Ovis aries: one gene and its partners. The protein of the gene in region 3 purifies or fractionates together with the protein of the main gene of each other region. This does not show direct contact. Links are inferred from orthologs where the notes say so. Each region holds a gene or a part of one and is shown on either strand. Other genes may lie near its edges.

The links.
Region 1: the proteins of COPS6 (region 3) and BTBD1 purify together in Homo sapiens (affinity purification with mass spectrometry; 3 studies listed by BioGRID and IntAct, counting the BioPlex papers as one, with this or other methods). This does not show direct contact. The link is inferred for Ovis aries from reciprocal best matches to the Homo sapiens genes COPS6 and BTBD1.
Region 2: the proteins of COPS6 (region 3) and RHOBTB1 purify together in Homo sapiens (affinity purification with mass spectrometry; 4 studies listed by BioGRID and IntAct, counting the BioPlex papers as one, with this or other methods). This does not show direct contact. The link is inferred for Ovis aries from reciprocal best matches to the Homo sapiens genes COPS6 and RHOBTB1.

Annotation. Positions count from the first base shown.
Region 1 is NW_024599827.1:1,671,964-1,675,454, reverse strand, and holds the end of BTBD1 (BTB/POZ domain-containing protein 1), read right to left. Parts: intron 3,293-3,491; coding exon 2,795-3,292; 3' UTR 2,637-2,794; coding exon of another isoform or gene 2,478-2,636; 3' UTR 780-2,477; downstream 1-779.
Region 2 is NC_056078.1:15,924,301-15,928,530, forward strand, and holds part of RHOBTB1 (rho-related BTB domain-containing protein 1), read right to left. Parts: intron 2,809-4,230; coding exon 2,690-2,808; intron 1-2,689.
Region 3 is NC_056077.1:36,794,700-36,799,029, forward strand, and holds the start of COPS6 (COP9 signalosome complex subunit 6), read right to left. Parts: upstream 2,682-4,330; 5' UTR 2,669-2,681; coding exon 2,602-2,668; intron 2,388-2,601; coding exon 2,262-2,387; intron 1,857-2,261; coding exon 1,725-1,856; intron 1,398-1,724; coding exon 1,309-1,397; intron 1,211-1,308; coding exon 1,148-1,210; intron 850-1,147; coding exon 802-849; intron 726-801; coding exon 611-725; intron 525-610; coding exon 432-524; intron 337-431; coding exon 236-336; intron 96-235; coding exon 1-95. UniProt on the Homo sapiens protein: Component of the COP9 signalosome complex (CSN), a complex involved in various cellular and developmental processes.

The DNA of each region.
Region 1 (3,491 bases), on a different chromosome or scaffold from region 3:
CAGTGCAGCATAGAGAAAGCCTCTGTTCTCCTTGTTGGTTTAACCATACAATACACAATCCTGTAAACAAATTAATTTCCCTGGGGACTTTTGAAAGCATCCTAACTGTATTATCATTTTTTTGCATAAAGGAAGGTTAGCAAGAAAACAATTACAGAATGGACTTGAAATGATCTCCAAATGGCCATCAAATAGATGGCAGTCCACAGACATGCTGGGGGAAAAAAAAAGTTTCTCTTGTTAAATCCAGATCTGTTTATTCTGAAAGCTCGGTTGACCCTCTCCTGTTCTTTTTTCCCTTTGGGCAGAAATTCTTTGGCACCAGCGTTTAAAAAAATTTAAATGTCCACAGCCTTTGTGCTCTGTCCCCTCACTCCAACCTATTATCAAGGCCAAGGAATTCTCAAATGTGGCCTATTCTGCAATGAGCTGACCAGGCTGGGGTGGGGAGGATGAGTGGACAAGCCACTCCAGTATTCTTGCCTGGAAAATCCCGTGGACACAGGAGCCTGGTGGGCTACAGTCTATGGGTCTGCAAGGAGTCAGATGCTGACTGAGCAATTGAGCGCATGTACACACACATAAACAAAAATAATGCTAAACCTCAATTAACTAGAACTTTGATTCAAAAACAGTGCCTCTGGCAACCCATTCCAGTATTCTTGCCTGGAGAATCTCTTGGACAGAGCAGCCTGGTGGGCCACAGTCCATGGGGTCACAAAGAGTCAGACACAACTGACCAGCAAACACTTTTAGAAAAAAAGACAAGTAACAAAAAATAAAAGGATAATAGATATTTATTTATAATTCCAGGGGATGTCCCATATCAGTAAACTGTTCCATTTCTTGTCCCTTCTATGACTACTTTCAGTTACAATCGTTCAGTGTAACACACTGGAGGCAACTGAAATACCTCAAGCGTCAAACAACATTAACTTACCTCTGGCATACTGTACTTTTTAAGGCAGAAGTATTTTCTGCAGTTGTATTTTCCAGCAAAACTGAAGAGTTTTTGCCGGTTAATCTTCAGTTTACCAGACCACACATTTCAGAGTTATTCCAGTTAACTGAGGTTTACAGTCTTACGATCATATTACCAGATAGGGAAAAATTTCCCTTTTCCTCAAGCCATTTTAAGAGACCTCTGCTGCCAACACACCTCCCTATCTTCATGAAAATATCAAGTGATATACTACTTTGGATGGAAATTTTATCCTAATTACCATTTAGAAAAAATTCTTTTTAAGTTGATACTAAAAAGAATTATGATTTTCTGCACATCTTCTACAACTATTTGATAGAGCTTAATTATACATACATTTGTAATGAGATAATCATTTTCAAGGCAAAGAAAAAGTTATTTATATAAAAATTTTGCTTTATAAAAGTGTATAAATGTCATCCTGCCAATATACTTCCCATCCCCTCCTAAGGCAGCTGCACCTGTGACAGTGAGGTCATAAATATTAAATCTTATTTCTTGGATAGAACTATGTAGGTGTTCAGAAAGTATATTTTCCAGCAGGTGTGATTTTGTTGGATATCAAAGCAGTTGTTAGAGATGTTAGTATTTCATTCCATTCCTCCTTTTGTAAGATTATCACCAAATGTCGAATTGATGATGTCTGTTTAGCCAGGCACCACCACCATCACCATCATCATTTCAATTTTGGGAATTCTCAACAGCATGCCTCATTCAGAGAGATGGGTATAGTTTATATATACTATAAACTTTAAGTGATAAAGATTAAGTGATAAAGAATCCAGCCTTAAAGTACATCTTTAGATCCTCTGTTCATAACAGATTACTGTGAATTTGTACAAATTCAATTTTATTGATTAAAACTGTACTATGTAATATATTACTAGACTATTATGAAATATTTTTTCTATAAATGCACTCAAAATTTTCTGAGGCATTTGTTAAGCCTATTTCTAGCACTATGCCAAATACTAACAACCAGATATTTCAAAACTCCAAGGATGAAGTCAGCTTTCTTCATTTTCTGAAAATTAACTTTAGTAGGAATTCTGTGGAAATACTGACCTACCTCATCTTATGTAACCTTCAAAATAGTTCAAATAAAAACAAACAAAAAACACAAACAAGCTACATAAAACAAGAATCTTTCAATTATAAAACTGCTGAAATATCATGAGTCAGCTGATCTAAGAAATTATACAAGATAAAGCTGAAATAGCTGTTTTTTTTTAAACAATTAAACCCATTCTTTTTTCCCTTAAGGTTATAAGAAAATGGAAATCACCCGTTAAATCATGCAGAGATTTAAGTCACATTTATTTACCTAAGAAACCAAAATGTCTCTTATCTTACAGTTATAAATATTCATAACACTCAATCTCTTTTTTGTGACCAGTTCTTTATGCCATTGAGACTAGACTGCATGGTACTGTTTAGCCAGGATGTATTGTAACGCTGAATTAGGTATTGTTCAGCTGGATGTTATAAAGCTGAATTATGTATAAAATATTATTTCTGGTATTTGCCCATCTTCTATTGAAGTGCCATTATTATTGCCAGGAGAACTAAAAAAGAAAAAGACAGTCTTGCTAGCAGTAGGTGTTTCATGCACCACTTTCTTCAGTCCTTTTGTGCCATAGTGGGAATCTGGACCCTAAATGAGAGCAAACGGTTCATTAGTAATTTTATTTAATAAGCACTCAACTGGACGTGGCATTTCAATTAGATTAACGATCTACTTTATTTCTTTATAGCTCTTGGATAAAAATGCATGCCAAGTCATTTACTGAAAAATGTTGTTTCTGCTACAAGCTAATTAATGACTAAAAATACTGAACGCAGAGCTCGGGTATTAGAGAACAGTGAAATGGTTTTAAGAAAAACTGTTTTATCTTCTATTAAACTTGCAATCTCCTGCTCAAAGGGGCTACTAGATTCTTGTGGAGAACTAACCATTTCTTCCCAAGCAGAGCTGTGCTGAGAGGCACTGCTTTTCTCAAAGCCGTGGTACAATTTAGCTCCCAGCTTCCTGCCTTCCCTGCTTCCGCCAAGGATGTATTTTGAATGACTCTCAGCTGCTACTGAAACATGTACTCTGCAGCAAGAAGGATGAAACCCCAGGCCCCGCAGCTCACCAGGTAGAACATTCAGGAAGACTCTTACTTTGAGTGTTGCGCATGCCATGTAGCACAAGTTGGGCAGGATCTCTATGGGTTCTTTGAACATGACCCTGAATGTGTTAGCAGTTCCATCACAACTGAATCCAGTATCGTTTTGTCCCAGTGTTTGTTTTTTTTCATATTCAATGATCTGTAATTTTTAAAAGAAAAGTTAAATTTGAGTTACATCAACTGAAAAAAGTTTCCTAGAAAATATGAAGCCCTTAGGAACAGCACAGCAGGCTTCTACTTCTTTCTGTTGTCATTTTTCTCTGCCATCTCTAACCACCAAACATGGCTTGAAACACGTGGTCAGAAAATGCATTCACCACAGTGAGGATGGGAGGATG
Region 2 (4,230 bases), on a different chromosome or scaffold from region 3:
TTTATTCCTTTCTGGATATGCGTGTGAATTCTATTAATGCAAAAAAAAAAGGTTGAATTTTGTGGGGGACATCAGATTTAAAAAGGTTGAATTTTGTGGGGGACATCAGATTTACACAAAACAACAAAGAACAAAAAGGCGGCCTCGAAAGCACAGGCCCACGCATATACAGGCCTGAATTAACCATCGTGCATTTACGCAGACTTCACCCAAGGACCTCTTCTTACCTCCATAACCATCTCTACCACACTCTGCCAGTTTAGGAAGGGACTAGGTGGCTTGTTTGTTACCTGAGGACTTTCAGGGGACAAAGGCCTTGAACTCCTCATGGAAACAATTTAACAAGAATCCTCCAGGAAAATACTCATTGACATCACTTGAGCCTTTGTATGTTGGCATCGAATTTGATGCTTTACACACATACTTTCATGACTGACCTGCCCTTTGGAGATGGTTCTCTTGTGGTCCCCATATTAGAGATGAGGACGCAGGTCTAAAGAGGGTCGGTCACTTGCCCAAGCTCAAGCTGAGACTAAAGTTCATAACTATATAACAGAACACTTCCGTGTACCCTGGGCATGAGTGGGAGCAGGAAAGGCTGGACACATCCACAGCTCACGCCATTCTTCATATACTAGGTGTCTTGGTATAGACTTCTGGTAGCTCGGTTCCATGGCCTTTGTGTTTTGAGCTGGGTTGAAACTACACATCTGTATCAGGCTCAGCTGTAGTTCTAAGTGGTGAGCAACCTAGTCCTTGAGGTGGGGAGGGGGGTGGGCAGGGTGATGCTAAACAGACGCCACCCCAGGGAGAGGCTGTCACACGAACAGACCCGTGTGCATTCACATCGGCCGCCAAGTTTCTGTTTTGGTCATCTCTCCTGCACATTTTAATCTGGAGACAATTACAATCCATGCTGAGAAGGGATAAAGGGGATTAGCATCAGTGAGGTCAGCTCTGACAGTGTCTCTTTATGCCTGGACCCTGGACCTCGATCAACTGCTCCCTGCCAGGTGACAAGCAGGTATCCTTGGGCACATACTTCGGCAAGCTGGAAAAAGAGGGGAAGCGAGTCTTGGGGCTCTTTTATCTTGAGAGATTACTGAAGGTGGTGCTGTGCCAGTTGGATGAGGCTTTATTAATTGGCGGCGTCCCCCAATTTTCTTGACAAAGAGGGAAAGAATACCATCAATGCCGCCAGCATCCACATAAGGCTGATGTTATTTTGCATTTAGTGCTTATGAGGTGCTTCACAGGTACTGACACTCACACCTCGCAACCACATTACGGGTTCTGATCACATTTTCCAGATAGGGAGGCTGGAGCTCAGAAAGGTGATCACTGGCCCAAGGCCAAACAGCTTGTATGCAGAGGAGTCAGGGATCTGAGCCCCACAGTCCCTTCACTGGGTAGCCTCTACCAGTTGCTGTGGTCTTAGTAATGATGCTCCCAGACACCTTTGATGGTAGAGGAAAGACTTCATTTAGCTGCAGGTGAGGACCTCCTGGTTTACGAAGGCTGGCAGACATCAGAAGAGGTCATCAGGATAATTCTAACATCTTTTCCCCAGACAGCAGACAGTCTTCGGCTGGAGGTTGGTTTAGGAGCAGCTGCAGTCTGTTCTGAAAGCAGGAGGGTGGCCTACTGACAGCCATCCATCCTGGCTTGTGATTACAGGATTCTGTTTCCCTACTTGGGGATGCAAATGCAGGCTCCTGGGTCACAAAGGGAGTGCTCAGATTTCTAGTGTGAGGGCTCCCCTTTGAAGTTAGTTACTGTTTTCTGTGTTTCCGTTAAAAGTTTGGAGAGATGTTGAGATAAGCAAAAATAAGCCCATTAGGACAATAAGCTTTATGTGGTGTCCCCAAATATATTTTTAAAAGATGGATAAGAAATATTTGCCAAACTCAACAAAACATGTTTACCTCTAGACACAAGTTAGAAATGCTTGAAGGGAATTTTTCTTTCTTTCCCAACAGCCTGTGAAGAGGTGGAGATACAAGGTCTCCAAGCTGCTGCTTGCTCTAATAATATCCCTTTGTTGGAGATAGGGCCAGCATTTGACAAGTGACCCAGTGGCTTCTACTAGATGTGACAAGCACTCTGAGAGGCCCTTTGCTCCATCTCTGTTTCCCTAGAGGTGACAAACCCTAGAGTTGAGGCCCGTCAGGGCGGAGAGCCTCAGGGACTATCACAGATCAAGGGGACCTTGAGCATGACTCAGTACATCTCTCACCTTTAGGATAAGGAGATTGAGGCACAGGAAGGCGGCTTTTTAAGGTCCCTCATCTGTTGTTGGCAGAGTCAAGCCCAGGTTTAAGTGACTGAAGACACTTTTCACTGTCTCCAACTTCTGTAAGACAGTGTGCCCCTTCTTTGAGGGGATTTTGATAGTACCTTGCCTGGTGACATTTGTTAAAAAATATATCTGTACATGTTTTCAGGGATGAGGAACCCTGTGAGGATGAAAGGATATGGGGGGACTTGGGGGTTCACACATAGCAAGTGAACAACAGGCTTCTTGTAATTGCAGAATTATGGAAAGAGGGTGACGTGATACTCAGGTATTGCCTAAAAAAGTCTTCCAAGTTAGCAGTTAAAGAATCGAAGTCCTCTGGCAACACTTTCTAATACAAATACACATACATATTCATTAAGATGCCGCTTGGGCTTTTCGGAAGGCACCTACCTCACTGTTGGCGCTTTCGACAAATGACCCCCCGAACATAGCAGCCATCCACTTGCAGCTACAGATCAGCAGCGGTTTGTGGGCACTGATGGCTCCATCGTCCAACTTAAACGTCACATCTGCCCAAGGATGGAGGAAGCACAAGCCTGTAAGCCAGCCTCGCCAGGGGTTCCATCCACATCCATCCGCCTAGTCTCATCTCTCTTTCATACCCTTAACCACTGATGTGGTGCCCACCCCCAACTCGGGCACCAATTCTCTCCATGTCCTCCAAGGATATAAGGAGTAAGCATTTAAAATTATACATAAAGTCACAACACAAATACTGTGAACCATAAAGTAATATAAAGGAGATGAATAGTCTTTTCTTATTTAGAAAAGTTTCAACATGGAGAACAGTAGAAAGAAGAATAAAACAGTAACTGGTTTATCACATGCTTAATTTTGTCATGTTTGCCTTAGCTATATAAAACGTGTGTAGACATTTTTTTAACAGCGTACTTCAAGAAAAGTTATGACCAACCTAGACAGCATATTAAAAGGCAGAGACATTACTTTGCCAAAGGTCCGTCTAGGCAAAGCTATGGTTTTTCCAGTAGTCACGTATGGATGTGAGAGTTGGACCATAAAGAAAGCTGAGCACCGAAGAATTGATGCTTTTGAACTGTGGTGTTGGAAAAGACTCTTGAGAGTCCCTTGGAGAGCAAGGAGATCCAACCAGTCCATCCTAAAGGAAATCAGTCCTGAATATTCATTGGAAGGACTGATGCTGAAGCTGAAACTCCAATACTTTGGCCACCTGATGCGAAGAACTGACTCACTAGAAAAGACCCTGATGCTGGCAAAGATTGAAGGTGGGAGAAGAAGGGGATGACAGAGGATGAGATGGTTGGATGGTATCACTGAGTCAATGGACATGGGTTTGAGTAAACTCCGGGAGTTGGTGATGGACAGGGAGGCCTGGCATGCTGTGGTTCATGGGGTCACAAAGAGTTGGACACTACTTTGCCAAGAATTTTCTAAAAATAAGATTCTCCTAGATAACCATACCATTATAACCCTTAAGAAAATCAGCAATAATTCCTTAATATCATCCATTATCTAGTTCATGTCCAATTTTTTCTAATTACCCCCAACTGTATTTTATAGGCTTTTTTTGTTTTTAATATAAAGAATCCAGTTTAGGCTCCCACTCTGTGTTTGGTTACTATTCCTCTCTAGTAAGGAAAAGGAGATTTCATCAATTTCACTTAAGGTCCATTGTTTCATTTACTGCAGGTAAGTCTTTGTAACATTTCTTTTCATTAACTTTCAAGACTCTCTACCATGATCGTCAATGTTTGGAGTAAATATTATTCAAAGTTTTAAAATTAATTAACAGATTCAGTGACCAGTTATTAAATGCATATGAAAGATGAAGACAAAAACAGAAATATCTATATAATAATGGAAGTCAAGAAGTCAAATTTTTACAATGAAACATACACAGAGAGGACAATTACAGAACAAAATTAGCACAAGTCCTATGTGTACAGGGAGGC
Region 3 (4,330 bases):
TAGAGGACGTTGAACTTGTTCACGAACTGGTTCATGGTGTTGCACGTCTTGGTGATAGTGCCAAGGTAGGCCATGAGCCCCACATCATTGCATTGCTGTGAGGGGACAGAAAAAAAACAAAGTTTCCCAGGAGCTCTGGGTCCCCCACCATGTGACCAGGGAACAGGAGCCGGTCATATCCTGCATGCAGAAGACAGCAGGAGCCCCACCTCCCCATCCTGAGCCTTGCACTCACATCGTAGAAGTCTGTCTTGAACTTGTCTGTGCTGAGTACCGGGAGGCAGTGACACAGAGCGTAGGCCTCCCGCAGGATCTCATGGTTAAAGGGGACCTCGCCTGAAGGCACAAGAAGCTGCATCAATGCGGATGCTGTCACTTCCCCAGGAGGGAGAGCAAACGTGCTTCAGGGACCAGGGAGATAACTGTCCTACCTGCCTCAGAGGCCTTGACGTACTCCAAGATGAGCTTGACGCGGCTGTGCAGCATCTTGATGGCGCTGTGCTGTGCGATGAGGTGTTCAGCCACTGGGGGGGTGGTCAGGCTGAAGTTGAGAAGGTGTGTGGCCACACCTTCCCCCCACTTCTAAGGAAGCCCCTGCAGCCACCCTTACCAGTGGAGTTCTCTCCACTGCCTGTTGCTGTCATTCGGGCCACGTGGTCCACCCCAATGCGTTCTGCTTCCTCTGTGGCCAGAGTGTAGGTCAGCTCAGCAAACAGCATGGTGGCCTATGGGACACACAGAGTCAAAAGCAGCAGACCCCAGGGGCAGGCTGTGTGGGTTGAAGGGTAGGGCATTACCTACCTCTCCATTGATTATATCTATGACTGACTCAAAAACGCTGACCGGAAGCTGTGAAGAAGAGAGAGCACAGCTCTTAACTAAACATCAGACACCTGAACCTACACTAAGCACCAAAACCGGACTGGGCCCTTTTCACATTACATTTCCTCAGCTAATCTTCCCAAGGACCTACTGAAGTGGAACTCATTCCCATTTTCACATGCGGGGAAAATGCAGTTTAAAGGTTAAATGACAAGTCTCACAGATGGTAAACTGCAAAAAGATTCAACAGAGATGTCATACAATAAAAGCAGGGGCAGAGCGACAGGCAGGCAGGACAAAGTGGGCACGGGGTCACTGTACTCACATCTGTGTGCTTGGTCATAGGGTTCAACTTAAGAAACAGAGGGCTCTCAATTATCTCGCACACCTGGAAGAAGGGAGGATGCACATGTGTGTCAGGGTCCATCTTCCTTCCCCTCATTCTCTCGTCTCCACCCCAATATGTACCTGTGTGAACGTGTATACCTGCTTATGGACGTGGATGTCGGAGGGGTCAGGTGGCCCACCTGTGGTGTACCAACCCAGAAACTCCAGCTCCTTGAATACCTGTTTAACTGGAGAGAAAGGGGCCAGGACACACAGTATATCTTTAAATCATCCTTCAATTTGAAACTCCTGGTGTGTTTTTACCAGCTTCTCCCCTTCCCATCCTGGCTCCACGTAGAACAACTAATCTATTCTGTCTTTTCTCACTCCTTGCTTTCTTTGCGAGGAATAACCCATATGTGTTCTTTTTCTAAGGTCTCTTCAGCTACTCTCTCTTCATTATTCCTCTACTCTGGTCCTATTTCTCTGTTTATTTTTTCCCCAACCCTCTCCATCTTCCCCATTCTTTTCTCCCCTACTCCCACTCTTCTCCCCCACGTCTATTCCCCTCTCACACTGCTCCTCCTTGGTGTAATAATATTCCTTGTCAATGATAATCTTCTCTTCCACGGTGTGGGACAGCAGTTCAAAGGAGTTCATCACCTCAATATTTCGGCCCTCCTGCTTCCCGATCAGAGCCCCAATAACTGGAGGAGAAAAGGACACAGAAGAGGTGAGGGTGAGGACTCCTCCAGGACTTCCCTGGTGGCTCAGATGGTACAGAATCCGCCTGCAATGCAGGAGACCTGGGTTCAATCCCTGGGTAAGGAAGATTCCCCTGGAGAAGGGAATGGCAACCCACTCCAGCATTCTTGCCTGGAGAATTCCAAGGACAGAGGAGCCTGGTGGGCTACAGTCCATGGAGTCACAAAGACTGAGCGACTAACACTAAAGGAATCCTCAAACTTCTCTAATAATAGCCTGAGGGTCTGAGGTCACGTGAACCAAGTACTAGAGAAATGATTTGCGGAGGAGGAACTAGCTTCAGCAAAGGAAGGAGAAAGGACCACTATTTGAGGGGAGGAGGCTGGAGAATGACGCCGAACACTCACCCTGCATAGGCCGCCCCTCCTGCGAGCGCATGCGAATCCAATGGTCTGAGATGTTGAGAATGACGAGGGGATGAAGAGCGACTGAAACGCTGCCAGTCACTCCGGAGGCCATCACGCTGGGGACGACTAAGGAGGGGAAAGAGGGGGTGAGAGTCCAGGCCCCACGTTCCTCCCGGGAGCCGGGAACGGGAGACGGCAAAGTCGGGCCATCCATCCCTCCCGCAAGTTAACCCAGGGAGCTCGCTGCCGGCTCGCCATCCCGACTGCTCCCGGGACTCTAGGAAGGCCTCGACAGGCCCGCCAGGAAGTCTCCAGAAGCCGCCCCCGCACGGCCCGTTACCTGCAGCATCCACCTCCATCCCGCTGCTCCCTCCAGTCCCGTTCGCCGCTGCCGCCGTCGCCGCCATTTCCCCCGCGCCCGCCAGCGTCGGCCCCGCCCCCTCCCTCCCGGCTTCCGTAGGCAGCGGCGCATGCGCGTTGTCGCCGAGGCGCACGCCTGCCCGCACCCTGGGCCACTCCGGGCCGTTCCTACTTGGCCTTGCGGGGAAGACTCGGGCCTTGCGGGGAAGGCCCGGGGCAGGGAGATCCGGCTGGTGTTTGTAGCCCCTTTTCGCCTGCAACTGACCGTGAACAAATTACCTAACCCCACCCTGATCGTCCTCGTCAGTAAAACTGGGATAAGGCCGCTTAGTTCCTAAGACTGTTGCAGAATGAATGGAACGTCATTTTGCCGCGCTCGGAATAAAACCGAAATCCCTAATCACGGCCTGCAGAGCCCTGCAAGATTCGGGCCCTGCCTGACCAGCTGGCCATGGGCTCTACTTTGCTGCTCCTTGGTTCCCCTGCTTCAGCCACACTGGCCCTCACGTCTGCTCCTTTCACACGCCTCACTCACGCCCACCTGAGGGCCCTCTGTCACCTTCATCACTGTAACACCGATGACCAAATCCGTGCCTGACACAGGGGCACCTAAGTGACGTTTGAGTGAATGCTTTGCAGTGGAGCCTGGTCTTGAGTGACTCTGTCTACACGGCTTATCTTTCCTCTTTCTGTTAACACCCCCAGCGTTTTCTAACCCGTCCCAACTTCCCTCTACCTTCCATCTCCATCAATCTTACCAAACTTAACTTTGGCAAACCTGGCCAACTCCAGCCCTCTCCCCACCCCTGCACCCAAGCAAGTTGGGTACACTGCCTTTACCCCATCTCCCATCTCATTGCCCCTACAACCTAGCTGGCTCTTTCACTGTGTGTCTGCACCGTACCCAAAGTGTTACCTCACACAGGGCAGGTGTGAATTTGCTTCAGTCGTGTCCTACTCTTTGTGACCCCATGGATTATAGCCAACCAGGCTTCTCTGTCCATGGGATTTCCCAGGCAAGAATACTGGAGTGGGTTGTCATTTCCTTCTCCAAGTCATCTTCCCGACCCAGGGATTGAACCTGGGTCTTCTGCATTGCAGGCAGATTCTTTACCATCTGAAGCACAAGTGAAGCCCAGAGAACAGGTAGAGACCTTGATCTTGACCATATGAAGCGTACTGGTGCCCAGAACCAGCAGATCCCCGGAAATGTTTTTTGATGATAAGGGTGACTTCTGTTAAAGTCAATCCCTCTTAAAGCGCTCCTAACCACTGTTTTTAGTTTTATAGTTATCTGAACAATGTTTTGAAAGCATTTGAAACAACAAAAAGACAGGAATTCTGTAAAGATTGAAATAGCAATGCAAACTAGCAAATTTAACAGCAGAATAACCTTTTTTTCCCCCCTCAGCCTTCAGTCCAGCTAAGAAGCCTTATACTCCAGAGCAACTGCCTACTATTTAAAAGAGGTATATATTTCTGACCTAATTTTTCCTAAGAGCCAATCAATCGTGTCCAACTCTTTGAGACACCATGGACTGTAGCCTGCCAGGCTCCTCCGTTCATGTAATTCTTTAGGCAAGAATACTGGAGTGGATTGCCATTTCTTTCTCCAAGGGATATTCCCAACCCAGGGATCAAACCTGGGTCTCCCTCATTGCAGGCAGAGTCTTTACCATCTGAGCCACAAGGAAAGCCCAGAGAACAGG